4 linked regions of the Tamandua tetradactyla genome follow. The main gene of each other region encodes a partner of the protein of the gene in region 4 in a complex. Links are inferred from orthologs where the notes say so. Each region holds a gene or a part of one and is shown on either strand. Other genes may lie near its edges. The genes, in order: STK25, STRN3, STK26 and STRIP1.

Region 1 (7,527 bases), on a different chromosome or scaffold from region 4:
AAACTGAGACAGGGATTAGATTACTGCTTCAGAGCTATGGAATTATTTGGAATGTCTTACAAACAGTTGCTACAACAACAAAAAGGGCAATTACAATACATATACATCCCAACATGCTTTTAAAGACATTTGCATTGTGCTCCCATTCCCTTAAATGTTGTTCCCAAAGTTGCTCAGCCCTTGCTCAGCTGCAGTCTCTGGAAGAGAGGCAGGGACAGTTTGGTGAAAAAGACACGGGGCCAGAGTGGGTAGGTGAATGGGTGTGGCGGTGGACAGTGAGAGGAGAAAGCAGTCTTCCAGTGAAAGATCACCTCTCAGTTTAAAGATCAGCTTCGGGCAGGCTGGCCTCAGGTGGAGTCAGGGTCAAAGGGAGGAGCAGCAGCAGTGTGGTACTGGGGTGTTCTACATCTCATTCAGGTCAAGCAGAGTCTGGTCCAGCATTCTCTGTGTACAGAGATGCTCCTCTTCGGTGGTTTTCAGTTTATCTTCCAAATCATTAATTGTCTTTTCCAGCTTGGCTACTGATCTCTCAGCAAACTCGCTCTACCTCCTTAAGTTTATCAGTAAGAATCTTTATCTCTTCTTCATATTTGTCTTCTTCTTGAGAGTACTTTTCTTCAGCAGCACTCAGACATTTCAGGTTCTGGTCCATCAGGCCGATCTGCTCATTCATGTCTTGGCAACGGGACTCTGCCAGCTCAGCTCCTTACTCAGTGCGTTCCAAATCCTCTTCAATAATCAGCAACTTACGAGCCACCTCCTCGTACTTCCGATCTGCCTCTTCTGTGATGTGCTTAGCTTCTTTGAGTTGAATTTCCTGGAGTTCCATCTTTTAAAGCCCAGTTTTCAATAACCTTCATACTTCTCTCGTACTCCTCAGCAGTTTTCTCTGCTTCCCCAGCTTTTGCAGGGTAGTGGCCAGGCGCTCAGCAGTCTAGCTCTTCTTCAACCAGTTGGATCCTTCAGTTCAAGGAGGCCACTTCAGCCACAGCCTGTTCCCCGGCCTCCCTTCCTCCCTCCACTTCCCGCTGGAGGTGCTCGGCTCTCTCCTCAGCATCACTGACCTGCTGCTATAGAACGTAGATCTTGCACTTCAATTCCTCGATGGTGGTGATCCCCGCCATGGTGCCCAACTACTGCTTGCACTAGGCTTCCTGCCTCCTGTGCTCGGTTTTGCAGCCGCTTCTCACTAGAACTTTTTTTCTTTTTTTTTTTTTTAAGTCTTCGTCTGGTATGTACCAGGTCTGGTCCTCCTCATTGTTGGTCTCCAGCACTTTAATCTTCTCCTTTGCCTGGGACATTGCTTCCTGTTTCTTTGAATGTTTTGTTGAAACCTGGACATTTTCATGTTTTAGTGTGTTACTGCTGGAATTTACTTTCTGAGGCAACTATTCTTTAAGCTTGTATCCAGGTAGTGTTGGATCCGAGCTTTCCTTGAATGCCAGGAGCTAACCAAAATATAAGAAACAAAAAATAAACAAACAAAAAAAAATGGAAGAAATTAAAGAAAATACCTTTCCCAGTCTTTGCAGACTGACTTGCTTGAGTGCTCTCTTTCAGAGCTTACCTAGATAATGAGTTTAGAGAATAGTTTGAGGCCAAAGTGTAGGGACCTCCCTGATCCTTTCAGCATATGCACAGGTCACAGGCATGTGTGAATGGCCCTAGGAGTCCCTCTGTTTAAATGGCTGAGAATGTCCCCTCTTCTTTAAGGAACAGTTTCCTCACAGTCCCTGGCCCTGCACTGTGTGTTGTTCAGCGAGCAGTCCCCTGCCCCAGGCAGCCACTGGCCTGGTCCCCACAGCCCTGTAGGAGAACTCTGTGACCCACCTTCTACACACAGGGCAGGTTCTGGGACAGCGAGTCCCTCAGGCCACCACCAGTGAGACTGGGCCAGACCCCCCTGCTCCCAGCATGTGCACAAGGGTGACTCAGCTCCCTCCAGAGCGAAGACCAGGGATCCACAGTGGGAGCATGGGCCAGGGCCATGCTAGGGAGGGTGGAGAGAGGACAGCCAGGGTACCACGAGATTCTACTGGTTTTAAGATCCCCTTTTCTTGATTTGGTGTTTGCTCTTTTAGTGCAGTCCTTTAACTGTTTTCTGGAGTTTTGAGAAAGCTGCTTTGGGCAGTTCTTGCTGGTTGTTCAAATCTCCTGTAGTGGACACAGAGCCCTGTAGCTTCTCATTCTGCCATTTTGATCAGAGTGCGGTTCTCTAGCATTTGATTTTCTTTTTTTAGAGTTTGCATCTTTCTGCTTACATTACTCATCTGTTCTTGCATATCATTCACTTTTTTCCACTAGAGTTTTCTGCACATAAATTATAGTTTAAATTTCCACTTTATTCCAAAATCTCTGCCATGTTTGAGTCTCATTTGATGCTTGTTCTGCTTCTTTAGACTGTGTTTTTGGCCTTTTGGCATGACTCGTAGTTTTTTATTGAAAGTTGGACATGATGTATGAGGCAATAGGAACAGAGGTGAATAGGCCTTTAACTGAGGATTTTAAATGTATCAAGCTAGAAGATAGGTTGTGTTTATTGTTTGCTGTAGCTGTGATGTCAAAGGCTAAAATTTCCTCTAGGGTCCTTGTTTATGTCTCTGTATTTCCTTGGAGATTTCTCCTTAAATAGGGCCAGAACTCTGGAGTTCTTTTCAGCTATAATCCCTGTTCTTATCTAGGAGCCCTACTGATGTGGGACAAGAAGAGTCCTACAGTTAGTCTTGGTCTTTTAGTGAGCCTGTGACCCTAGGTTGTGACCCAGTATTTTTCATCTGTATTTTTTGTTTTGTTTTGACCCCTTAGGTGAAGCAGGAAGGCTAAAGTGGACTAGCTCTGGGTCCTTCCTTCCCTGCTTGCAGAAGGTTAGATGAGGCTGGAGTTGGTTATTTCCCTCTGGGGGTTGTCCAACTCTGGTAAGACCTGTGTTGGCGAGGTGCTGGTAAGAGAGTTTCCCCGGGGGACAGACATTTATTTATAAGGGAACAAGGACACTATTCACAATGGTCCCTTCCCCTTGTGCTGGAAGCATGAGGAGATTTTTTTCTCTCATCTTCACAGCAGTAATTTGGTGGTACCCCTAGAGACAGACTTCAAGAAAGTGTAGGGGTCTCCCTGGGACCCCCTGGAAATTTTCTTTCTCATGCTAATCCATCTTCATTGGCCTGAAGTAGTCAACTACCCTGTAAGCTGTCCTGCTGAGGGTGGCTCTGCTGCAGTTCCTGCCCTTGATAAGCTGAGACATTTCTGCCTCTCTCTCCAGTTTTTCGGGTAGTTTGCCCTGTGCCCTCAATTCTCTGATGGATCTAAGAGGAGTTATTCATACATATTACTTTCCTGCACTCACACATTCACTCCACAACTTTCACTGCATGCCTGCCCTGTGTGGGGAGGATGTAGGCACAGCCTGCTTGCCAGTGCTTAGCTGACGGTAAATAACACAACCCGTGAAAGATCAGGTGGCCACGAGTGACCTGCACACAGGTGCGCAGGGGGCCTTCCATGCACAGCCAGGAAGCCCCTGTACTTAGGAGACTGAAGTAACTCAGGAGGACCAGCTCCGTTCTGAGGGACAGCAGGAGCACGGGGTGTCCAGATGGTCTTGGAGGGCCCACCCAAGGCAGAAGAAACAAGCCTTTTCCACAGGACAAGGGTGCACTAGGAAGGCGCTGCCAGGGGCACGGCGCGGGCCTCCAAGGCTTCGCGGGCAGTGGTGGTGGCTGCCCTGACGTCCGCACCCTGGGGCCGTCCAGCCGCTGGCCCTGCGACCTGTCTGGGAAGCGCACTCTGTCCTCCCTTCCGCAGATCTTCCTGAGCCCCTGGACAGGGCGGGTCACCGTCCAGGGCCAGGGGTGCGTCAGCTGGGGGCGCCAACAGCCCATGAGACCATGAGCGCCCCTCAGCGACGGGCTTTGTCCGCAGGTGTCCCCGCGCCATCAGGTGGGTCCTGGAGGGAAACCAAGATGGAGAAACCAAGGCAGGAGAGGGAAGCGATCACACTGGATGGCCTCTCAGCGGTCTGAGGGAGCCGCGGCCGCGAACCCGGTTGTGGGAGGATACTGAGGCCGTCCTGGGAAGAGGTTCTCGCTGAGGGCCGGGCGGGAATCGGGATCCCGAGGCGAACTAGCAGGGCGCGGGCGCCCGGGGAGGGCAGCAGGGCGGGACCGGGGACGGGACGAGGGCGTGGCTGGCTCTGCGCTCGGGAAGGGTCCGTCGTGGCTTACCAAGGCGAAGCCCAGACGGCGCCTGCGAACGACAAACGCCAGTCAGGACGCGGGTGGAGGGCCCGGCTGAGACGCCCCCGCCGTCCTGACGCCGCCGCCTGCCCTGCGGCCTGCCGGGAGACGGAGTCCGGAGCTTCTTAGGAAGAGGGACTCCAAGTCCCAGCGAGCCTCGCGGGCGTGCCTTCGCGCACGACCCCTTCCCGGACCCGCCCGCCCCGGCTCCTGCTGGGGCTTGTAGTCCACCGTCCGCGGCGCCCCGCCGCAGGGCGCGCTGTGGAACTGGGTGTCCCAGAGAGCACTGCGGCCGGGCCACGACGCCGCGCGTATCTCTCCCCGCCGCCGGCCATTCTCCGGCGCCGCCGCAACTACCTTTATTTCGGGGCTGAGAGGCCCGGGCTTCCCCAGGCGGACCGAGGCTGCGGGTGGGGGCTTTCGCGGGCGCTGCGGAACGGGCCGGGGGAGCCCGGGATGGAGCCCCCCGGAGGTGGGCGCGCCGCCCCGAGGGCTTCCCCTGGCGGTTGGGGAGGGGGCCGAACACAGGGTGGGGGGCCCGGAGCAGCGGGGCGGGGCGGAGGGAGGCCGCCGGGCTGGCTCCGTGGTGGGAGGAGAGTCGGGGGGCGGGTACCGGGGGCGGGCAGGGCCCAGGGAGGACCCTGCAGTGAGGCGGGCCGGGGGATGCGGTGCGGGAGAAGCCCGTGCAGCCGGGGGTGCGCGGCCGGCGAGGCTCTCGGAGGGTGCTTTGGCGTTCGGCAGGACCGGCCGGGGGCGCGGAGGCAGGCACTGTCTGCAGGAGGGGAGTGGAGACGGCCGGGTGGGGCTGTGGGGCGCGGCCCGGCCACGGGGACCCCAGGGAAGCCCGAGCAGGCCTGCTGTCCCCGCCACAGTGGACTGAAGCGAACCTCGCGAGCGAGCCGGGTTCCTGAGCATCCAGACGGCCATCTGGAGGCCTCCTCGGGTTGCAGGCGAATGGTGTGACGCCGCGGGGGATATGGCTCACCTCAGGGGATTTGCCAACCAGGTAAGGAGCAAGTTTCTGGGTTGTATGTGGGTGTGAACCCCCTGAGACAAGAGCCTTGGCTGCCGAGTACGAGGAACGGTGCGGATCGAGATGGTGCGCGTTGTTGGTTGTACTAAGGAATTTATATTTCACCCGGGAGTGGAAGATTTGAAGGTTAGGGGCGCTCCGGGCCTGGGCTCCGGCACTTCTGGACAGGCATGGGGAGAACCCTGATCCCCGCGGGCTAAGGAGTTCGGAAATGTGGCCGGGGAGTTCACTCGGCCCTCTCCACGCCTAGGGAAGGCAGAAGGTGCGGTGTATTCCCGTGGCGTTGGGAGGGCACCTGGAAGATCACATCTGGCATTCATCTTTGGTTAATGGTTCTCCTGACCGCAGTGTGCAGTTGCAGACGTTAGGTGATTCCCGACAGGACCTGCGGACTCAGGTGGGCCGTGCAGTTTTCAGAGAACGGTTCTGCCGGTCCCGCGGTGGGAGCTTTCCACTGGACCCGCCCTTCCCTCGCTCCCCCCCCCCCCCCAATTTTTTTGTTCTTTGAAAGAAAGGTGTGATTTAAAGGTGATGGTGAAGTAGAATGGACCCTTCTGGTTGCCACGTTTCTCTTCATCTAGCCATTTGGTTTTGTTCGTAAATGCGAGCTTGGGGCAGCCTTAGACTGTTGGCGGGTATTGGAATCAGCCCTTAGAGAATGGAGCGTGATCCCACCAGCGTGAGTGCTCCATCAGGGGTGCAGGGGCGCCCACAGGAGCTTCTGTATGGGAGGCAGAGGCGGGAGTGCAGTTCAGTTCCAGGCTCAGGGCCCTTGCAGGAGGTGGGAGCTGTCTGGGAACGCTGGGAACCGGCTGCTTGACTGCTGGGCAGGCTTTTGTGAACCAGCTGGGGTCACAGGGGATTGGGTTTGCTGATGGGTGCGGAATGAAGCCTCCAGGCTTTAGGTTCTTTTATTTATTTTAATATTTTTTATTGACAAAACTTGACATACAAACATACAAACATTCCATAAATGGTGTACAATCAGTGACTCACGATATCATCACATAGTTGTGTATTCATCACCATGATCATATTTTAGAACATTTGCATCACTGTGTGTATCCATCACCATGAATATTTTCTAGAACATTTGCATCACTCCAGAAAAAGAAATTGAAAGGAAAAAGTTCATATATACCATACCACTTACCCCTCCTTCTCATTGACAACTAGCATTTCCATCAACCCAATTTACTTTAACCTTTGTTCACCTTATTATTTGTTTATTTTTATCCATGTTTTTTACTCATCTTTCTGTACCCTAGATAAAAGGAGCATTAGACACAAGGTTTTCACAATCAGTCACAAGTCACATTGTAAAAGCTATATCATTATACAATCATCTTGAAGAAACAAGGCTACTGGAACACAGCTCCACAGTTTCAGGTACTTCCTGATAGCCACTCCAATACACCATAAACTAAAAAGGGATGTCTATATAATGCATAATAATAACCTCCAGGTTAACTTCTCAGTTCTGTTTGAAATCTCTCAGCCACTGACACTATTTTGTCTCATTTCTCTCTTCCCCCTTGTGATCAAGAAGGCTTTCTCAATCCCTCGATGCCGGTCCTGTCTCATCCTGGGATTTCCCAGGGAGATTTACACCGCTGGATGTAAATCGCTTGCTGTATGGTCTTAGAGAGCGAGGCCATATTTGAGCAACAAAAGAGGTTCTTTGGGGGTGATTATTAGGCCTAATTTTAAGCAGGCTTAGCCTATCCTTTGCAGGAATAGGTTTAGTAGGGGCAAACCCCAAGATTGAGGGCTTGGCCTGTTGATTTGGTTGTCCCCATTGCTTGTGAGAATATCAGAAGTTCTCCAAATGGTGAAGTTGAATATTTCCCCCTTTCTCCCCATTCCCCCAACGGGACTTTGCAAATATTTATTCACTGTCCAAATCTCTCTGGTATTTATCAGAGCATCGCATTAACCTGGACAAACCAACACAATCTTATGCCCTGTTCAAGATTCTATGTACTTATGGTGTTCAGCTAAACTTACCATACAAGTTAAGTTAGGAAATGCACTACCCAAAATATAAATTTTGCACCAAATAAAAATCTCTTCCTTTAGTCTCACACAGAAGTTGAAGTCTTAAAATATGGACGATATCATCCTTTATTGGGTTCTTTTTTGACATTTTATGTGTGATGACTATATGATTAAGATGCTGAGAGAAATATCTGCCCCCGGTTTATTTTCAAGAGCTTCAGAAATAGCTGCCGTGAGTCCCTGAGTGAGAAGTTGGCGTTC
Region 2 (6,973 bases), on a different chromosome or scaffold from region 4:
CCTGAAAAAAATTAACAGTCTAGAAACACTTCAAAACAAAGTTTTGTTTGGCTATATCAGAACTAAAATGCCAACAGTAGGTCACTGAAAGACAACTAGGAAGAAGACAAGCAATAAAAATCTTCCTTAAAGGATTCTTCCATTGTTGCTATTAAGAAAACTGGAAAGGGCTAGGACAGACAACCTAGGTTTCATTAATTTACAAGTTTCATGAACCTGTATGTTTATTAATTAGATACAAGTAAGACATTTTCTTAGCTCCTTTATTAGTGAAGTTTATGAGGGACTAATGTGATTGCTAATCTGCAGAGTGTTAAAATCCAAACTTGCACTCAACAGTACATAGGTTATAAACACTACTATATCAGGAATAGTAGTGCTATTTAGTGAGTTGAAGCCTTGATATATTTGAAAATGCAACTTTTATTTTTAAAAGATAGTAAATAAATAAATAAGTTTGCAGCATGGCATAGTAGAAAGTTTTATATCAAAAGATCTCTACCAAAGTATTTTACAGCAAACTACACATGTTAAAAGAAACAATTCTGATGTAAGCTTTTTGAAAGTTATACTATTCTTCAAAGCCCAATAATGTTTCAAAGCCTGATTTTAAAATACTGAATTGACTAACAGGTGTTGATGTGTAATTTTCTAAGCCTTGAGAGAGTGTCAAAATATATAAATATTCTACTTAAAAAAATTTAACTTCATCCATTTTGTGGAGTCAAGATTTTACTAGATCAAAGTCAAACTGAACTAATTCCATCCCCCTATACTATTATTATCAACATGAAAAAGTTAGAAAGGGCATACCCAAAGATTTTTATAGAGAAGAGGGATCAAAGGCAAAGGAGGAGTTATAACAGAAGACAGAATTTAACAAATTGAGTATGACTGCTAAATCACTATATTGATATTTCTTTTAACCTCCAGTGTTTTGGAGCAGCTGAAAGGAAAAACCTGTAACTGTGCAGTGGTAATCCATATCAAAATATTATATCTGTTCTGTAGCTGCATGTTGGGGTGAGCTTTGAAATTTTTTTTCTTTCTTTCTTTTTTTTTTGCATATGTTACATTTCACAATTTAAAAAAGTTAAAAAAATCAAACTGAAGAGATTTATATTTCTCTGATGACACTTTCAAAGTTAATCCAAACTTCCTTCTTTCAGCACCATGTTTTTCTAACTAGTCATCATAGGTATATATGACATATAGGACAGCAAACAATACTGCTTACATCCTAAATATACACCAGCCTGAAGAACAGGTGCAACACTATTTAGATGCGTGTTTTCTTATAAGCCTAAATTTATCCTGGAAAGGAATTTAAAATAAACCCTTACAAATGCCCCCAAAAGTTCAACAACCCTTTCAAAGGGATGCAGCAATTTTTAAATCCAAGACACGAGCCCTTAAACTACCAACGTTTTCCAAAAGTTAGGTTAAGCATCCTGTCAAAGGTTCACCTTAAAAGAAATGTGTCTGGCTCAATTATGAGTGTGATGAAACTCAAGACAACTAACTTTGTTTCCCCTGAATGAGTCACTAAGGTGAGAAAAGTACATTTGCTTCAAGCAAATATTGTCTATTCTCAGTCGTTTCATAAATACAGCACAGATAGTCCTGTTTCGCTTTAAAAGTAAAGAAAGGGATGCAGGGAATGGGGGCAAGGGGTGAAGGGTATGCTAATTGAAAATTTTACTAGTCTTCTGAGAAGAGTAGTCAAGCACCGGTGAGTCACTATGTAAGGATGAACAGAAAGGGATCCAAGTGATTAAGGCAACATCAGAGGTAAGAAGGTACTTAAAAGTTGGCAGGTAGGAAATGAAAACTTCACAGATCAGCCTCAAGCCATTGTGCTGGGTAGCAGTCCTGGAAAAGAAGCGTGGCTGTCAACCCGCAAGTGCGTACCAAGTAGCGAGAGGGGGCCAGACGAGCCAAATCGGAAGAGGGGGAGGTGAGGGGGTCCGGGAAAAGGTGGTAAAACGCTCATCCCAGTCCCTTTCCTGTGGTTCTCAACCTCAAGAGAGCCAAACGAGAACGAGTGCAGTGCCCAGCAGTCCCACGCCGGACTCTCCCATACAGCGGAGTTCGGTCACAAGCCCCGAAAGCCCGGGAAGGCCGCCGCCGGAGGAGCCCCCGCGGACGCCATACTAAAAACCAAAATGGCTGCCCCAAGGAAGCCTGCACCGCGTAGCTAACGAGGATTGGGGAGCAATCGTCGGTGGGAAAGGGGGAGGGGGACCCCAAGAAAAAGCTGCCGCCAGGACCGCTGCCCGTGCAGCCGCGCAGGTAGGTTCCTCTTGAACTCTCGAAACCGCAGGCTCGGGCTGAGGGGAGTCCCGGCCCCACCCCCCTGCCGGGATCCCCACCGTGGCAGCCGCCCCACAGACCGTACCTGCAGTTCAGCCCGCTCCACCTCCCAGTGCGCCCGCTCCATCTCGAATCGGGCCCATTCGTGCTGGATGTAGTGTAGTATCCCCGGGATTGTATACTGCTGCGGCCGAGACAGCTCGGGGCCCGTCGCAGGGGCCGCTCCTTCGGCGGCCGGAGGACCCCCGCCACTTGATGCTCCATTCCCCCCAGGTCCCTGCTGCTGCCGGGGAGGTGCCGCCAACCCGGGACCGCCACCACTGCCTCCGGCGAGCTCATCCATTGTGTGTGCGGCCCCGGCCGGGGCGCAGACGAGACGTCGATGGCAGGAGGAAGGGCCGGGAAGGGTGGCCTCGCACTGCCGGCGGGGCAGAAGTCGGCCGGGACAGGGGCAGGGAGGGATTCCTTGCGGTGTGCCTGCTGTAGGTCAGAGCAGGGAGCTGCCGGCCGCCGCCATTACGGTCCCTCCTCCATCTGCCCGTCTCACTCACTCACTTTAGGGGAAGGGGGGGCCGCGGCGGGAGGGGAAGGAGGGGGCAGGGTTGGGAAGGGGCTAGACGTAAGGCCGTCGCTCCGCGCTGCATGCCGGGTAGAGAACGCCGCAGCTGCCGCACGCCTAATAGCCAAATAGAAGCCGGCCTCGCCCTACGCAGGCGCACTGGGGAAGCATTCAGGGCCGCCGCTAAGAGGCGGGGAAAGGGCACGGGCCCCGCCCCCAGGCCCGCCCCCAAGGAGCTCCGCGTGTTTGGCGGCCGGCGTCAGTCCTTGGTCTGGGAGTTCAGCTCTTCCGAGCGAGTCTACCTCCCTTATCCCGGTTGTCAGTTTCTCTGTTGCAGGCCGCCCCCAGACGTGGTTCCCCACCCAGGGCCCTCGATCGCCTGGCTGCGGTCGAAGCTGGGTTTTAACCGGGTTGGTCGCTCTGGCCTGCTGCGAAGCGTCCGGGATTCCTGACGTTGCTTTTGCATTCCTTGCATGTTTCTGGCAGTCCCACAGGGTCGGGCGTCTTTCCTTGCCTGTCACTCGCTCTTTCTATAGTTGCCTAGCTTCCGGTCGTTTCCCGGGGCTTTGGGGACTTTCTCTTTTTGGCTAGTGGCCCAGATCCTTCCGGACATGGTGACTGTAATCTCCGACTTCGCCGGAGCCCGGACTTGGGTTCATTTCTGTGCGTTTGTTCGCCGGTCGCTTGTTCCGTTTCCTCACCTCTTCTCAACTATTCTGGGAAAGGGGATTGTGTTGGGGAGACTTGGGAGGGGAGCAGGAGCGATTGTTGGCATTTTCGTTTCTTTTTCTTGGGAGGAGAGGGGGTGGCAATGGAATCCTTTAGATCTTGGTGATGAGTAGAGGGAGGAAGATAATTTTCGAGGAGACTGCTTACACTAATAATTTGAAGGGAATAATTTTAGAAGCAAATGAGGTCCTCAGATATTGCCATTCATGGCAAAATATTTATTTTTATTTTTTTAACATAACAGCATACAAACCCGAACATTCTTATCATATGATCATTCCATTCTTGGTGTACAAACGATAACTCACGATATCATCGCATAGTTGTATATTCATCATCATGGTCATTTCTTAGAACATTTGCATCAATTCAGAAAAAGAAATAAAAAGAAAACAAAAAAATTCATACATATCATACCCCTTACCCCTCCCTTTCATTGATCGCTAGCATTTCAATCTACAAAATTTATTTTAACATTTGTTCCCCCTCTTATTTATTTATTTTTAATCCATATGTTTTACTAGTCTGTTGATAAGGTAGATAAAAGGAGCATCAGACATCAGGTTTTCACAATCACACAGTCATATTACAAAAGCTTTATCATTATACAATGATCTTCAAGAAATATGGCTACTGGAACACAACTCTACATTTTTAGGCACTTCCCTCCAACCGCTCCATTACACCTTAACTAAAAAGGTGATATCTATTTAAGGGGTAAGAATATCCTCCAGGATAACCTCTTGACTCTGTTTGGAATCTCTCAGCCATTGACACTTTATTTTGTTTCATTTCACTCTTCTCTCTTTTGGTTGAGAAGGTTTTCTCAATCCCTTGATGCTGAGTCCCAGCTCATTCTAGGATTTCTGTCCCACGTTGCCAGGAAGGTCCACACCCCTGGGAGTCATGTCCCTCATAGAGGGGGGAGGGCAGTGAGTTTTCTTGTCATGTTGACTGAGAGAGGCCACATCGGAGCAACAAAAGAGGTTCTCTTGGCGGTGACCCTTAGGCCAAATTTTAAGTAGGCTTAGCCTATCCTTTGCAGGGTTAAGTTTCATATGAACAAACCCCAAGATTGAGGGCTCCACCTATTACTTTGGTTGTCACCACTGCTTGAGAGAATACCAGGTATTCTCCACATGGGAAAGTTGAATTTTCCCCCTTTCTCACCATTCCCCCAAGGGGACTTCATGGCAAAATATTTTGATGAAGTAGCAACTAAGGCAGCGTGAACACAACTTAAAATCCTAGATGAAAGGGTAAAAGTATTTTCCCAGGTCACCAAAGGTTTGAGTGAATATAATATAGATATAAAAGACAAGGTTAATTTTTAAAATTTATTTTACAAACCCTATTCCCACCAAGCAAAAACTTGCTTCCAACCCACTATAGCCATCAGTCTACTAAGGTTAATTTTCTTTAAGTAGTGCACATTTATGGCTTAGCGCCCCAGGGAGCATCCTAATGAACTAATGAGTTAAAAAAAGTGATAATCATTCGATTGAAAAATATGACAAAAAACATTTACTGTAATAAAGAGATTTAGAAATTAAAGCTATACTGGGAAGTGGCATAGGAAGTTGGTTTTGTTTTTAAGAATTTTTTTCTTTATTACAAAAGCCAATAAAATTTTCACTATGGAATATACACTTCCATTTAGGATCTAATTTCAAAGAGATAAAAATATATCTTATTTTATCTTGTTGATAAATCTTGTCAGTTTACTGTTCTAACATTTTAATGGAGAGCCATCTTGAACTTGTTCCCCATGTTATTTTATTTACGCATGAAATATGGTCTTAGATCACAGTACTATTAAGTTTCTTCCTATATATATGAAGAATATATATACATGTATGTTAGTTGCAAGTTCGGTCACAACTAACATTCACCCATTTATTAAATCCTATTAACTTTTGGGAGAGTCTCATAGCATAAAAAAGTTCAGAAGACCCATATACACTTAAGAAGTTCAGATGTAAGTTCAGAAATTAGACCCATATACACTTAAGAAACATTTTTTGAGATAGTGTAGTTCACCTCCCTGATGGTAGCATCAAAAGAAGAGGAAAAATGTGCATTTGTGTTTCCCTGATACCTCAAGCTCACTTTAGAATTTCTGTCTTTTCTTCCTCACCTACCCTCAAAAAAAATCTGAAAGCTCTGCTCCTCTTCTATTACCTATCTTATTAGGTGGCACTAGATCCAAACCTGAGGCCTGGAAGTCTTCTAGTGCCTTTCACTTAGCCCCTACATCTGATCTCTTTTAACATCCTTTATGTCTACTCCATTATCTCCATCCATGCCTTAGTTTAAACCTTTCCACCTCTACTCTCCCCTCAGCTCCCACTACCACAGCTGCCTAAAAAGCAAACTGGACCCTGTCGTTCCCCTGCTTAAATTGTTTAAGTGATCTCCAAGGCTTTTAGGTTAAAGCCCCAAATTTTAGCTAAGCATTTAAAATATGGTCCTTCAAGTATTAAATTCTCACTATAGCCTAAACTACCATCACTCCATCACACCCACCCCACAGCACTTTTCTCTTCAGCCAAATCGCACTGCTTTGGGTTCCTCAAATGCATAAGGCCTATTCCTTCACAGTGACTAAACACAGGCCATACCCCATTGCCTTTCTTTCCTGTCTTCCTTGAAAACTCAGGTCAAGCATTACTTCCTCCAGGAAGTTTTAAAGATCCCTAAATTATTTAGAGACTGTTGAGGATTGAATCTTGTCTTGCTCAAGAGGACTGTTCAGATCCCAGCCGCTTTTCCTGTGGATGTGAACCCATTTGTAAATAAGACCTTTGAAGATATTAGTTAAGTTGGACCCAACTTGAATGAGGGTAGACCTTAATCCAATAGGGCTGAAGTCCTTAGAAACAAAAGAAATTGGACTCGGAAAGGAAAGCAATGGAGAGCAGTGAGAAGCCGGAAGTCAATAAAATCTGGAAAGGAAAGGAGAAGATGCTGTCATAAGCATTGTCATGTGACAGAAAACCAAAGATTGTCAGCCAACAAAAAGATTTTGACCCAGGAAAGAGGCCTCTGAAACTGCTAGCTAATAAATTCCTGTTGTTAAGCCACTCTACTGCCCTTCTGGTTCTCAACTGTACCTTCAGTATCTGGTACATTGATTCTTAAATGACTGATGAATAACTTAAGTTTATATTAATATGAATATTTTTCCTTGATCTTAATCATTTTTATTAGTTGTGCCAGCTACCTCTTAAAGTCGATGAGCGAATGCTCTGGGTATTAAAAGTTAAGAACACCAAGGTTTTCTCCTCTGCTGGGAGAATGTTTTGTAGATTCTTGATGTTGAGTTTTATGCCCATGACTCATGAGGACATGCTACAGTGAGCGCCTAGAATC
Region 3 (7,398 bases), on a different chromosome or scaffold from region 4:
AATGCGAAAGGTAGTATTATATGTACAACATTTCCTTATTCATTTGAGAATATAGAAATTACTATGTGGAAATATTACAGGACACATGTAAATTTACATTAGTAATTGTTACCTATATCATCAGTTGAGATGGAGCTTAATACTATTAGACTGGAATTGTATGATTAGGAATGAGATACTTATGAAGAATTCTTCAGGGTTCTCAAAGGACCACATTAGAGAGTCAAGCTGTCTCTTTGTTTAGATAATTGTTGCTAAACATTTGTCTAACTGCTAACATAATGCTACAGAGCTACTATGATATTTGAGTTTTCAAGTAATAGGGATGGAGTCATGGTAATTTCTGTAATTTCATGTAATCTCTTATACAGCTCAGTTGGGATCTGCAACTGTGAGATGGCTGTCTGAAGTTAGGGTTACAGGCGATATACATGAAATCAAATGAGGCCAACTTAAACAAATGGGAGTTCAACTACCAACCCTGACCTCAGTAATTGCATGCTCTAAACAACTGAGATAGATCAGCATCAGAATAATACTTAGCAAATTCATTCTCTGGAAATGAAGAATTAAGAAATTGAGTGTGAATCTGAATTTCCTTTAGGAGTACCTAATTTATCAACTACATAGCCAATTAGATCAATATATTTGATTTTTAATATCTACTACTCATTCTGTATACTTCAGTATAAATAAAAGATACCATCTCTGCTTGAATATAGAGATAATAATATGTGAATCATTCTAATGTATTACTAATAGCTGTGAAAACACTTTAAAGCACAATAAAGTACTCTAAAGCACTCTAAAGTAGCAGATCATTATTATTGCTATAATTAGAAGTGTCTCTTCTTAAAAACCAAAATCATATTTAAAATAATCTGATGCATACCTGGGAATGAAAAATACTAAGATAGGGAGTAATAACATGAACATATCCATGTTTTAGAAAGATTGTTCTGGCAGCTATATGGAGAATGGCTTGGCAGGGGATAAGGGGCATGGGGGAGTAAGGTGGGGAAAGAAGAGACACTAGCTATAGAGAGACCAGTTATTAGGATACAATTGCAAACAGCTCAGGCAAGAGAATGATGGGTTCAAGTGACATTATGGAGGTAGAAATCATAAATCTTGACAATCAATCAGAGGGGTGGGCTGCTGAGAGGAGATAGATATGAAGGAGAGGAAGAAATGAACAAAATTTCAAATCTGAGAAGAACTATTAACAGTATATAGTTATGTATACTATACTTTAGACAATATAAAAGTTCAGTTGGCTCTTCTGTGTATAGTGATTGGGCAATCAAATTCCTTCCTTTGCTTTTTTTTTTTGGGGGGGGGGTTGTTCTTTCGGACAGCAGTATCAAGGAGTCATAAAGCTCTCAAGTCTGAGTTCTGCTCCTAGGACTGGGTGTGCCAGGGAGGGCCACTTCCCATGAGGGTTTGTATGATGGTGTTAGGTTCCGGGGACCAGGTTGACCCATGGCAGCCGACAACAGTGTAGCCAAGTGGGCGAACCTGATTATTGGCCAAAGAAGGCTACAAAGGGTTCAAGTTGGAGAAGTAATACCACGTGCCAGGCCCCAGGGTGAGTGAGGCAAGACAGTGAGAGGAAAAATGAGTGAGGAGGTCAGAAATTAGAACAGACTGAGGAAGAATTAGGAAATCGGGTATGAAATGAGCTGGGGTGAATGGTTTGGGACAGAAGCCATAAATTCTGAAAGCGTTAAGGAGGCGTGTTTTCATGTAGTGTGGGCAGGTTGGTACAGGTACCTAATAGCCTAATGGCACTGAACAGGCCCAGACACCGTCTCTAGAACTCATAAGCCAAAGTATCTCTGGCTCGAGAACCTAAGAAATATCCATTCTTATCCATATTGGTGTTTCCATTTCCTAGCATTTGCAGTATCAATATACATTTTCATTAATAAGTTAGACCACATGTTCTTTTATCCCTTAAAATTCATGAGACAGATGATTTCTAATCCAGAAATCTAAACCCAAGGCTATCTATCTTTTCTCATTCTATTGGGTCACTATTTTCAAAGACAAATCCCCTAATTCGTAAACACAGACTGCTTCATTAACTGTGTTTAACAGGTAGCGGAGGCTTAGTTCACTGACAGCTGCCAGGTGGTGACTTGGAATCCAGCCCTTGGTTTTCGAATTTGCTGTAACATCACGAAGAGCATGGAGCACATATTTTACTTCAAGAAAGACATCTAATTTCATTCGGGGTTTTGCTCAGGTTTCCGTAATCTGTTCACGCTGCTCTGGGCTCTCCAAGAGGTTCGTGTTGGCCTTGTGGCTGGCAGAGAGTGAAAAGGGGAGTATGAAAAGTGCAGAAAGAAAATGTAGTAACTCCTTCCTCCCTCCCCCAAGATATAGTGATAGTGTTGTAAAGGGATAAAAAGCTCAAGCAAGAAAACTCTTGCTTGAGGGAAAATCCAAGCTGGAAAAGGCTCAGTAATCACAGCTATCTCCAAGTCTTTCCATCTCAGTTTTGATATTTGTTCTGCTCTGGGGCCTCTCCTCAAGCCTTGTAGCTGGAGCAATGGCTACCACCACCCTACCCCTAATCTCCTGGCTCAGTTATGGACAAATCCCTCTGTTCTCTCAAAACAGGGTTGGCATTTTTCAAGTAGACTTTTACTAAGAAAGAAAGAGAAAACTAAAGCAAGGAAACTCTGATGCCTAGAACTGGGCAGGAATTAAAGATCTGGGATTCTTTTTCCTAAGGCAGTGATTCTTAAAGTGGGGTCCCCATACCAGCAGCATCAGTATTTACCCAGGAACTTGTTAGAAATGCAAGTACTTTGAGCCTGCCCCAGATCTACTGAATTGGAAACTTTAGAAGTCGGGCCAGCCCTCCGTCTTTTAACTTCCCTCCAGGTGATGCTGATATACCCTTTAAGTTTGAGAAACACTATTCTAAGGAACGTGCAGCCTAGCCCTGGATAGCCTTCAGTGGTGCTGTCTGAAGAGCATTCAGCCTTCTCTTTTTTAACTTGCATTAACTATGTTTGCCTCTGGTTGCCTACAGTCTAGCAACTAGTAGATAACTAGTAGACTGGTAGCTAACGCTACCTTCTGCCCAGCAAACACCATGTTCTAGGCTAACATGTGTGCAAAGTATTACTACTAATAATCATTCCAGTAGCTTCCACATTTTTGCCTGTTTCGCACGTGCTCCACATTGTACTAAGCACATTACACTCACTGTGTTAGCTAATCCGAACGACAGCTCTATAAGAGAGGCATTATCATGCCCATCTTCCAAATAAGTAAATGTAAACTTGGAGAAGGTGAGTTGCCCAACGAATGCCAGGAAATAAGGGGCAGAGCCAGGATTCATACCTAGGTTTCTGGTACTCCAAGTCCATACTCACAGCCTGGATTCCATATTGCCTCCACACAGCCACGTGGCTCCTATGTCAGGCACCATGTCCTAGGAGCTTTTTTAACTGCATGTCAACTTCCTATCTTAGCTAGTAGACTCCTCTCCTCATACACTAGTTCTTTCACATAATATCCTGGACTATGCTATTTCACTTCATTGAGCTTCAGTTCCCTTGTCTGTAAAGTGGGAGTAATAATCCTTATTTAAGAGGATGGGTGTGAGGATGTGTGAATATACAGTGATGGAAATTAAATGTATTATTTCCTCCATTTTACAGGTGAGGAAACTGAAACTGGTCACTTGGCTGAGGCAAATTCTGCTGGCTTTTTACCTAAACTTATTTGAGGGTGTGAGAAGATCTCTGCTCCCAAAATATCTCCACTTACAACTAGGAGTAGAGGGCCATATTGAGTAAGTATTAACTTATTCCCTATTAAAATGGCAATGTTCTCAGGCCAAGGTATCAAAATGGGCAGAACACAGATACATTTTGATCAAAGGAGGTGAGAATGGCCCAGAATCAGGGCCTGGGGGAGTACCAGATTCATGCCTAGTTGCAGAGATGGGCTTTCAGCAATGAGAGGAAACAGATTGGAGTGGGGGTGTGAGGAGAAAGCAGAACCTCTGTCATGAAAAGTAGTGATGTTCAAACAAGTGGCCAACTTCACCGATTTACTCATGACCCAATTACCCATGTGACTGTTTAAACCCACATTTAGTCTTATCTCCCTTTTTAAAGAATTCTTAATGTATCTAAGGAAAGATCATATCTTTCCATTTATCCCTTTCCCCTTCCCGTTTCTTGGCTCTCGAGTATTTTTTTGTTTTTTTACATACTTCCTCCCCACAGATAAGGCTAGTTCTCTGTGAACTAGATGTTCACTCCTAGCCTTTCTTTCCTTCTCTGTTTCTTTTCTGTGGCATGCCCAGAACACATACAGTGTTTCAATTAAGGTACAGGTCATCCAGCCAAGGGTGGGTACCGGTGCATTTTGTGTAAACCAGCAGCGTCACACCGACAAGACAGAAGAAGCTCTGAGCAACACTGGATGAATCCATCCTTAGGTCTCGTGAGGACTGATGTGACAGAGAAGCTGCTATGTAAGTTTTCATGGGAGGTGTCCAAGTTTCGGGTTTTATACAGGGATTCTCTTTTAAACTAATTTTCTGTGCATGAAAATGTATTCTCTCCGAAATGTAACTTCTTTAAGAAAGATGTACATGAACTAACTGCAAGTAAATGCTTGACCAGATGATGGATGCTGTAGGGGAATTCCTCTACCTGCTATCTTTGTGGCAATCCATTCTTCCACAAGTCACTCGTAAAAAAAAATTCGTTTCTAAAGAGCACAGCACTTTAAATAGGATTCTGTGTAATTTAGGCTATCATTAAAAGGGATTCAAGTATAGTACAAATTGCAACCATCTTGAATTACCCACAAGGAATTCAAATACCATTCCCCTATTTTTGTCATAATTAAAAAGGAAAAGCCACGCTGGACCAAATTTCTGGTCCAGGCAGCCAAGAATTTTTAGAGGGGGACTCGGAATCATGTTGGCAATGGGAGCGGAGAGGGTGTGGTTGTTCTCCTTAATGACAACCTCAAAAGTTAAGACACTTAGAGCGGGCCACGGTGGCTCGGCAGGCAGAGTTCTCACCTGCCCTGCCGGAGACCTGGGTTTGATTCCAGGTGCCTGCCCATGCAAATTGAAAAAAGAAAAAGTTTAAGACACTTAGCAAGATTCTCTTAGCAGGTTATCTTGGTTTTATCTTTTGCAAATGTAGCCTAAATCTTTCTTGGTGCTCTTTACAGCTTAATTTGTACTGCTGCTTGAAGGTGGTGAGTTCCACAGGTTTTACTGTCCACTATATAAAGTCTCACTTCCTGTTGATTGCCTTGGATTTGACTCTTGAGTTTTAAGGTCTGTGCTGAGTTCTAGCCAGTTAATAGCTTTGGTTGCTATTTACTCTGTCCATACCCTTCAGGATACTTTTAAAATAAGGCTAATAGTGGGGACCTATCTCATAGGGGTTCACAGGTATTACAGGATTTGATACACAAAAAGCACTTGGTCCTGTAACAGACCCAGAGTGCACACTAAATAAGTGGTAAGTAGCAGCAGTAGTAACTCTGGCTGTTGCCTCTATCTTCATCGTATTGTGTTAAAAGAATCTTAACACCTTGAATGTGGCTCAGTCTAGCACCTTCTCATTCACACATTCTCAGGGCCCATCATTACACCACCTTTAGTTCCATTTTGGCTTTGCTGATTTGTGGCTTCCTGAATTAAGTGTTGTATTCCAGATGTGGCTGCACCAGGATTTAATTTTTTTCCCCCAAAATAGAATAATGTGTTATATTGTTTCTAGTCTGTTTTCTAATCATGCACAGCATTTTGTTGGCCTTTCTGGCCAAAAATGGCACAGTGAGGTGAAATTGTTCCAGAAATAACTTACAACTCCTAGCTTCCCTTTTGGGAGCAACAGAGATTATTATCAAACATGTATAGTTTGTATATATTTTTTCTGTGGATGCATTACCTTGCGGAGATGTTCTATTGTTCTTTTCCAGTTTTGAGAGACTTTCTTGCCATTTGTCCTTACGTCAGTTTGGCATTTCACTACTGAGAAGAGCTTAGTAGCTCTTACCACTGTGTAGACCTTCTTTCACACCACTTGTAACAGTTATCTAAGCCTGGGATCATGGAAACCTTAATACTGACACTTCTCCATCCAGAGAAGCACCCACACATTCCTATCCTTCATTTCCTTCTGTGAGTTAGCGCTCCTTCTATGACAAATTGTTTCCCCAAATCTCATAGGGACTCATTAAGCAACAACAACCAAAGTCAACAGCATGGAAGCTTGCCAAAGACTTTTGAAAAAGTCTCTATATATTCCATCCCCTGGTTCTTCCTTGCCCATATGTTATTTACTCTCCTAAAGAGCACTAGACATGCTATTCCCTCACAGAATCCCTGCTGTTTTTCCTCTGAAAGGTCATGTTTAACTGTGACTCTAGATTTATTATTTAGCTATAAAATAAAGCTTCAGAAAATTCCAGATTTTACTTTGTAAGAAATGTTTTCATAGAATCATTAAATGTCAGCGCTGGTAAGAATCTTAGAGATGATCCAATTCTCTTCATTTTACAATGAGGAGACTGAGGCCTAGAGAAGTTTCAGCCAAACTTGTTTTTCATCTGTTAATTTTTCTTTTTTTTTTTTTAAGCAAACTTTGAATAAAATTCTGGATCATGCTGAAATGCTTGGGCATATGTTTTTTTCTGATGTCTCAAACGGAATGTAGTTTTCTTAGTATGGAATACAGAGTAGATTTAACTTATGGAAGCAAAATGTTTTCAAGAACTCATCATTTTTTTTTAAATAGGCAGGTTACCTTTAACTTTATTGCCATAAGCTTTACCTCACAAATTGACTTCTTATTTTATTATTTTTTTGTTATTGTTAAAATCACATTACCAGGCTTATTTGGAGTTTACTGCATGCCAGACACTATTCTAAACAGTTTATGCAGATCCTCATTTAAAGTTCAAAGTTAGGCAATATGAATCTATGATGTCTGAAGATAGGGAAGTGGAAACCTTTGGGCTGGAGAAGGCAGTGATTGAATGAGAGCATCAGATGACTTCTGGCAAGCAGGTAATGTTCTCTTTCTTGATCTGGTGGATGGATACATGAATGTTTTAACTTTGTGAAAAATGAGCTATTCTACACTTATGACTTTGTGCAGCTTTCTGTATGTGTGCCATACTTCAATAAAAGCCTAAAGAAAGGGTAACACATAGTTAGGCCCTTACATCAACTTAAGTTATGTACTTTTAGTATCCCTATTTGACAGGTGATGGAACTGAGGCACAGAGTAGCTAAATCCCTTACTAGAGATCATAGAGCTAGTATGTAGACAAAACTAAGATTTGAACCTAAGTAGTCTAGCTCTGCAGTTCATGCTCTTAACATGAAAACACAATAAACTA
Region 4 (7,185 bases):
TAGATAAGGTTTTTTACATCCTCTTACAGATGGAGAAGTTGAGATGATGCAGTTGAGCAACTTGCTCAAAGGTAGCAGATGCTAAAGACATCTGCATCCCAGCCCAGATTCACTTTGGGATTAAAAAATCTCAGCAAACTGATAAAACATCTCTATAAATTACATGGGAAATAGTTTGTGATTTCTATTTAAAATTGTGGTACTGAGTTACTGAGTGATTTTTTTAATTTAATTTATTTTGTATTATCAAACCAAAACAACATACAAACATGAACATTCTTAACATACAAACATTCCATGTATGGTGTACAGTCAGTGGCTCACAATATCATCACATAATAGTATATTCATTACTGTCATCATTTTTTAGAACATTTGCATCACTCCAGAAAAAGAAATAAAAAGAAAAAACTCACACGTACCATACCCTGTACCCCTCCCTCTCATTGACCACTAGTATTTCCATCTACTCAATAGATTTTAACTTTTGTTCCCCCTATTGTTTATTTTTAATCCGTATTTATTCATCTGTCCATATCATAGACAAAAGGAGCATCAGATACAAGGTTTTCACAGTCAACAGTCGCATTGCAAAAGCTATGTCATTATACATCGTCAAGAAACATGGCTACTAGGACATAGCTCTACAGTTTCAGGCACTTCCCTCTAACCTCTCTAATACACCTTAAACTAAAAAGGGGATATCTATAAAATGTGTAAGAATAACCTCCAGAATAACCTCTCAACTCTGTTTGAAACCTCTCAGCCACTGACACTTTCTTTTGTCTGATTTCTCTCTTCCCCCTTTCGGTGGAGACGGTTTTCTCAGCCACTTGATGCTGAGTTCCAGCTTATTCTTGGATTTCTGTCCCATGTTGCCAAGGAGGTTTACACCCCTGGGGGGCATGTCCCACATCGAGAAGGGGAGGGCAGTGAGTTTGCTTGCTGCATTGGCTGAGAGAGATAGGCCACATCTGAGCAACAAAAAAGGTTTTCTGGGGGTGATTCTTAGGCCTAATTTTTCCCCCTATTACATATTTATTTTTAATCCATATTTTTTACTCATCTATCCATACTATAGATAAAAGGAGCATCAGAACAAGGTTTTCACAATTACACAGTCACTTGCGAAAGCTATATCATACAATCATCTTAAAGAAACATGGCTACTGGAACAAAGCTCTACAGTTTCAGGCATTTCCCTCTAGCCTCTCTAATACACCTTAAACTAAAAAGGGGATATCTGTATAATGCGTAAGAATAACCTCCAAGATAACCTCTCAACTCTATTTGAAACTCGCAGCCACTGACATTTAATTTTTTCTCATCTCTCTTACTCCTTTCAGTGGAGAAGTTTTTCTCAATCCCTTGATGCTGAGTCCCAGTTCATTCTAGGATACCTATCCCATGTTGCCAGGGAGGTTTACACCACTGGAAGTCATGTCCCACGTACAGAGGGGGAATCTTATGCCTAATTTTAAGTAGGCTTAGTCTTTCCTTTGCGGGGATACGTTTCATATAAACAAACCCCAAGACTGAAGGCTCGCCCTATTGATTTGGTTGTTCCCACTGCTTGCAAGAGTATCAGGAATTCTCCAAATGGGGAAGTTGAATTTTCCCCCTTTCTCACCATTCCCACAAGGAGACTTTGCAAATACCTTTTATTCGTTGTAACCGAGTGATTTAGACTTGCAATTTTAAGTTGCTGGAACTGGAATTAACCCAGGGGGTCTGGCCTCAGAATCAATGCTCTTGACACTAAGCAATACCACTGTTAAGAAACAGCCCCAGTTCAGTTCAACTTGTGGCAAACAAGGTTTTGGTACGCATACCAAGGTAACGTGAAGCTTGTTAAAAATACACATTCCTGGACCCTATCCCAGGCCTACTAAAACTAACTCTCAGGGCCATAAGGAGACAAAGATTCTGAAAATCAAATATCTCTTCAGAGTCACATCACAGTTGATGAAGTAGAGCCAGGATTTGACCCATAGTCTTTCTGGCTCCCAGATCCCATCCCTGTCCCTCCACTGACCTGCCTCCCTTTGGCCTTCTAGGCAGCTTCTCATTTCAGGCACACTTCTCATACCTTAGCAAAGTTTCTCTCAGCATCAGAAACTTGCCACAGGCATCCAAAACTCAAACCGCAGGTCCCAAGCCTTTCCTAACTCTTCCTGAACGCAGACATTGATAACCTGCAGAAACTGAGCTCTGCTTCCAGAAGCCAGAGCCAAACTGGGTCAAAAATATCCACACTTAGGGCACCAGTAGTCCACTGATAAGCCCTTGGGCTCTTGGGCTCTTGACTTGGTTGCTCTTAAATCACAAAATGACTCATCTTCATTATTGATTCTATTATTTCAGTGCATGAAAAACAAAAGGCCCATTCTCTTCAATGATTCTCTTGCCTTTGTATATCTATCTGGGAAAATTACTTCTGAAGGGCAACTGAGAAGTGTTTTCTAGTCCGGGAGCAGATGAGGAGTCTGGATAAATTTGAGGTAGCACACTGCTCTCCAGGTCAGCTGAACAGACCCCTCTGAAAAGCATTGACTTGCTGCTTGCTTTCATGCAAATTTGTCAACTGAGGGGATAGGTTTGAGTCTTGTTTTTGTGCATGTGTTTTTGTTTTTTAAGCAAAGCCTGCTTTAGCTCAAGTTTAATGGGGAGATTTAATGAGGAGGGAACTGTCTTTCTCTCACATACGGTGGGTAGCAAACCAGCACTTGCGGCTTTTTCCTGTCTGAGCTGTGGGTTTGCTATTATCCAGTAAACAAGCTCTTTTGCTTTTCTAATTTTCTTCTCAAAATCAAACCATGGACTATAGTTAATAGTACAATTATAAAATTGGGCTCTTATCAGTTGTAACAAATGTATCACACTAATGAAAGATGTTAATAATAAGGTGACTTGTGGAACCCTGTACTTTATGCATGATTTTTCTGAAAACCCACCACTTTTCTCTAATAAAAAAATAAATGAACAATATGAAAATACCACTACATGATATGAAAATGAATATGCTGCAACCCCTATCATTTAACCTTATATATCATTTGAATCTGTCCCATCACCTCCTTCCTCACCCCAAGTCAAGCCTTGGGATGAGCCAGCAGCCCTGGAACATCATCAGAATTGAGCCAGTGGCTTCCAGCTAAGTCATCTCCAGGTTCACCACCCACAGAAACTGATATAATAAATGTTTTTTGTTTTAAACCTTTAGGTTTTAGGATAATTTGTTACACAGAAATAGAAACGAGTGCAGGTACGTTTGGATACCGTGGTGCCCTGTACACGCAGCTTTCCCATTCATGGCTGATGCACTCATCCCTCAGCCAGGTTTCCCCTGGCTGGCTCAATTTTAGCTGCAAAGACCTCAGGGCTCTGCACTTAGCTGGTCATTCTGCCAGTGTCACCTCCACCCATCTTTGCATGGCTCTCTCCCTCACTCCTTTCAGGACTCAACAAAATTGGCCTCCTTATGCCTGCCTGCCTTGTCCAAGCAACCGAAAATAGTCAAACCTCTGCCCTCACCCCCCATCACTTTCTAATCCCTTACGCTTCTTTGTTTCTCCACAGCACGTATGTCTCTAATTATGTATGTACTTGTTGTTTGTCCTACCCTTTTAGACATTATGAATATACTATGTGTTGAGGAACTTGACATGTTGCCCATTCTATTCGACTGCCTGGAGCATAGGAGGTGTTCATTAAATATTTGCCGAATGAATGATTAGTACTTTCAAAATTTTTATTAATTTGTTTAGTGGCTGTCTCCCCCATGTAAATGTACATTCCGTGAAGACTAGAAGCTTGTCCAGCTTGTCTACGGCGGCTATATCCGCAATGTCTTTAACAGGGCTGTAACAGTGACAAGTGCAAAGTACCATTGAGTGAAGGAGGCGACAACTAAATTGAAATTTCTAAGGAAGTCCTCACAGATAAAATGTCATCCAAACTATCGGGACTGGAAAGAGAGCGGAAACTAAAATTGGAGAAAAGGGAAGAAGTACAAACATTTCAGACACAGGCAATCACGGGAGCTTATTGAGCAGCCAAGATGGCTTCCAGCACACGCTGCCACACTTAATATGGCGACCAGGGAGATTCCCTGACAGAAATCACGCGAGAGTTGCATCACGGCGACTCGGAGAATTGAGCCGGGGGTGTGGAGCAACCAAGATGGAGCCGGCAGCTGGCGGCCCGAGCCCGCTCATCGTGAACAACAAGCAGCCTCAGCCGCCGCCACCGCCGCCGCCGGCATCCGCTCAACCTCCACCCGGGGCACCGCGAGCCGGCGGGAGCCTTCTGCCCGGGGGCAAAGCCCGAGAGTTCAACCGCAACCAACGCAAAGACTCGGAGGTCAGGATATCAGGGGGGCGAGGTGGGCACTGGGCGCGCGGCGGCGGGGATCCGAAGTGGATCCCTTCACAGGGTCCACACTGGGCTTCCTAGAGGGAGTCGGCACGGCCGGGCCTGGGAGCTGTCATTTTAAAGCGAGAGGGGCGGGAAGCAAGACTGGTGTCTCCCGGGCCAGGGGTGTGAAGTCGGGGTCCCCGCCCGGAGCCCCGCCGCCCCGGAGGACTGTCCGGAGCTGGGTGACGGCTCGTGTGCTCCTCTGGGACCGGAACTGTGGGGGCGGCCTCGGGGCCACAACCGCTGGGAAAGCCGCCCTCTGGCCCAGTGCGGTGGGAAGAGTCATTGGTCTGCGTGCGCTCCCGGGGGCCGGGGCGGCTGGACCCCAAACCCCCTAATCTCTGAGCCTCTGGCCTCGGCCCCGGGCTCGCGGGCTCGGGCTTGTGGCTCCCGCAGCGCGCTGTGGACGGCATGTGTGGGCAGAGGAGGAACTGGCGAGGGTTTAGAAGGCACTTTGAAGCCGGACGGAGCTAATTATCATTAATGATACTGTGCGCCCAGAGGTTGCGAGGGTAGGAGGGGAGAATCGCCCGGTTCCCTCTGATGCTGTGCTGGTGTTTGGTGGTTGCTATGTCCCGTGTGCCTAAAGCTGAAATATTAAAAATCCGAAATGCACATTTTAAACATGTGTTAGAGCTCAACATCCCCTTCTCTCTTGCTAGAGGGCTGTTCTTCCGTTCTGGAGCTGACTATTCACCTCTCCCCAAGTTAAAGAATTCCTCCCACTGCTTCCTTTTGTGGAATTCATGAATGAAGACACATACATCGCAGAATTTTAGGGTTTCTTAATTAGCACGTTTCCAGAACACTTACTATGAGTCTCCTTCACCTGAGATAACTCCAAGGCTGGTTGATCATCAGTCATGCACTTACTGGGAAGGAATTCCTTTTTGTCAAGAATGTACTGGGTCATACCACCCAGTGATACTGTCTTTACACCTGTGAAATCAGTTCTTCTCAAACTTTTATTTTGTTTTTTGTTTGTTTGTTTGTTTGTTGGCAAGCCCAACACACATTGTAAAACATGTCAAAATATGGCAACTATAAAGTTTATGTGCCCTGAGCTTGAAGTGAATTATTTGATAAAAGGAATGAAGTCAACTTTTCAGGAGCCCTAAATAACATGATGGGGTGATGGGACAACAATGGTGAATTCTTCCTTTATTGTTATTATTTTTTCCTCCAGTGGTGAGTTCTTACTACCCTTTGAAGTAAGGAGGGTTATGAAAATGATAGGGGTGAACCCACCTTCATTTTGAGAGAAGATATAGTTTAAAAAGAGTTTTACATTTTAAGTACTTATGAATAATAGTTAATGCATTTTAATTTCCCTTTATGCCCTTTAATTAGCGCAGGGAAGGGCAGTCAAATGGATTCGTTTAAATTGAGAGAAGTCTAAGTTCATTTTCTTAGTAGATGCTGCTGCTGCTGCTCTCTGCTCTTTCTTTAGTCATAGTTGAAATCAATAGACTGGGAGCCTGAGCAGAGTGAATGCTTGGAGGGCAGGGAGGCTGACACTTGATGAGAGCCCACTGTGTGCTACATAATTTTGATTACTCCTTAAAATCAACAAGGTAGATTTTTGTCCTCCCCATTCCATGTGTTAGGAAACCGAAGCTTGGTTTGTAAAAGTGTACACTGTGTTGCCTCTGAATGGGCCAAATAAGTAAAGTTCTTTTAGTTGCCCTGTGTTTGTGGGTCTGCTCTCATAGCATACCATGGATGGTCTTTGTCTTCTCAAGTAGATTACGATTCAGACTAAAACATAACCTATTGCTTCGCTTCCTCTTTCGCCCCAATACAAGAACAAAGAGTGTGTTCTCAGTAATCATCTGCCCCAGCAGTAAAAATATTATCTTTGTCGCGTTGTCCCATGTGTGGGAGGGAAGCCGTTCTCTGCCACTGCTGCCTTCTCCAGTCCTTCAGTTCTCATTGAAATTTGAGAGAGGGGCAGGAAAGCTGAAGGGCTTTCAATACCCACTTTGTCTTGAGCAGTTAATAGTCCACTAGCTAGAAAGAAATGAGGCTTCTGGAATCTTCGCACCATCTGGCTTGGTCATTCACTACACAAAATACAGAGAAGCATTGTATTCATTCATTCAACAAGTATTTGAGCTTAAACTGTTCATTCACTCATTCATGCCAGGTACTGTGCTGGGCATTCTGAAATCATCGGTGAGCAAATTGGATAACATTCCTATTTTCAAGGAACTTGCAGTTTCGTGGAAAGATAGATACTACACAAATATAAATGCCAATATATAATTCGAAGTTATGTTAAGTGCTCTGAAGGAAAAGTATAAGATATTCAGAGAGGATTTAATAGGGAAAACTGAGCTGGCCCAGGAGACAAAATATTGTGATAAAACAACAAAAAAGTGGGGCAGTGATATCCTGTAACACAATGGTGAGTCTGGAAGCATGTTTGTTTTTTCCTTTGGAAAACTTTTTGAATGTTCTTTTGCATAGGCTCTCTTGTATCTCAACAGGGCTATTCCGAGTCACCAGACCTCGAGTTTGAGTATGCTGACACAGACAAGTGGGCTGCAGAGCTCTCTGGTAAAGCATAGATCATTGTGTTGTTTTGGGGATGAGGGAAGTGTGTTTTTTTTCTTATTGATCTTTAAGAATATGAATATTGTTTTGAAATTAATTTTTTTCTCAATCCAATTAGTGATGTGTATTAAAAATATTATTTGGTTCAAGCCTTGAGTATCTCATGACTTTAGATTGTCCTTCACTTTTTTGAAGCCTCTGTGTAGTCAACTC

The links.
Region 1: STRIP1 (region 4) and STK25 share a complex: the UniProt entries of both Homo sapiens proteins name them as parts of the core of STRIPAK complex. The link is inferred for Tamandua tetradactyla from reciprocal best matches to the Homo sapiens genes STRIP1 and STK25.
Region 2: the proteins of STRIP1 (region 4) and STRN3 are in contact, whole or in part, in a cryo-EM structure (PDB 7K36), measured with the Homo sapiens proteins. The link is inferred for Tamandua tetradactyla from reciprocal best matches to the Homo sapiens genes STRIP1 and STRN3. Residues at the interface, in NP_149079.2 of Homo sapiens: Arg441, Ile445, Tyr447, Leu449, Thr455, Val456, Val457, Gly458, Leu459, Arg491, Ser492, Pro493, Leu494, Ser495, Phe792, Leu793, Pro794, Val795, Asn797, Cys798, Leu799, Val802; in NP_001077362.1 of Homo sapiens: Thr64, Pro66, Gly67, Leu69, His70, Tyr71, Gln73, His74, Val88, Glu89, Ala91, Glu92, Ala95, Arg96, Phe99, Leu100, Glu103, Gly106, Gln107, Leu110, Asp113, Leu114.
Region 3: STRIP1 (region 4) and STK26 share a complex: the UniProt entries of both Homo sapiens proteins name them as parts of the core of STRIPAK complex. The link is inferred for Tamandua tetradactyla from reciprocal best matches to the Homo sapiens genes STRIP1 and STK26.

Annotation. Positions count from the first base shown.
Region 1 is NC_135329.1:80,165,939-80,173,465, reverse strand, and holds the start of STK25 (serine/threonine-protein kinase 25), read left to right. Parts: upstream 1-4,515; 5' UTR 4,516-4,707; intron 4,708-5,087; 5' UTR 5,088-5,211; coding exon 5,212-5,241; intron 5,242-7,527. UniProt on the Homo sapiens protein: Oxidant stress-activated serine/threonine kinase that may play a role in the response to environmental stress.
Region 2 is NC_135340.1:23,298,143-23,305,115, reverse strand, and holds the start of STRN3 (striatin-3), read right to left. Parts: upstream 3,022-6,973; 5' UTR 2,657-3,021; coding exon 2,399-2,656; intron 2,293-2,398; exon of another isoform or gene 1,933-2,292; intron 1,792-1,932; exon of another isoform or gene 1,669-1,791; intron 1-1,668. UniProt on the Homo sapiens protein: Calmodulin-binding scaffolding protein which is the center of the striatin-interacting phosphatase and kinase (STRIPAK) complexes.
Region 3 is NC_135353.1:30,555,795-30,563,192, reverse strand, and holds the start of STK26 (serine/threonine-protein kinase 26), read left to right. Parts: upstream 1-4,378; 5' UTR 4,379-4,499; coding exon 4,500-4,501; intron 4,502-7,398. UniProt on the Homo sapiens protein: Serine/threonine-protein kinase that acts as a mediator of cell growth. Modulates apoptosis. In association with STK24 negatively regulates Golgi reorientation in polarized cell migration upon RHO activation.
Region 4 is NC_135337.1:12,888,851-12,896,035, reverse strand, and holds the start of STRIP1 (striatin-interacting protein 1), read left to right. Parts: upstream 1-4,173; 5' UTR 4,174-4,182; coding exon 4,183-4,362; intron 4,363-6,905; coding exon 6,906-6,975; intron 6,976-7,185. UniProt on the Homo sapiens protein: Plays a role in the regulation of cell morphology and cytoskeletal organization. Required in the cortical actin filament dynamics and cell shape. Part of the striatin-interacting phosphatase and kinase (STRIPAK) complexes.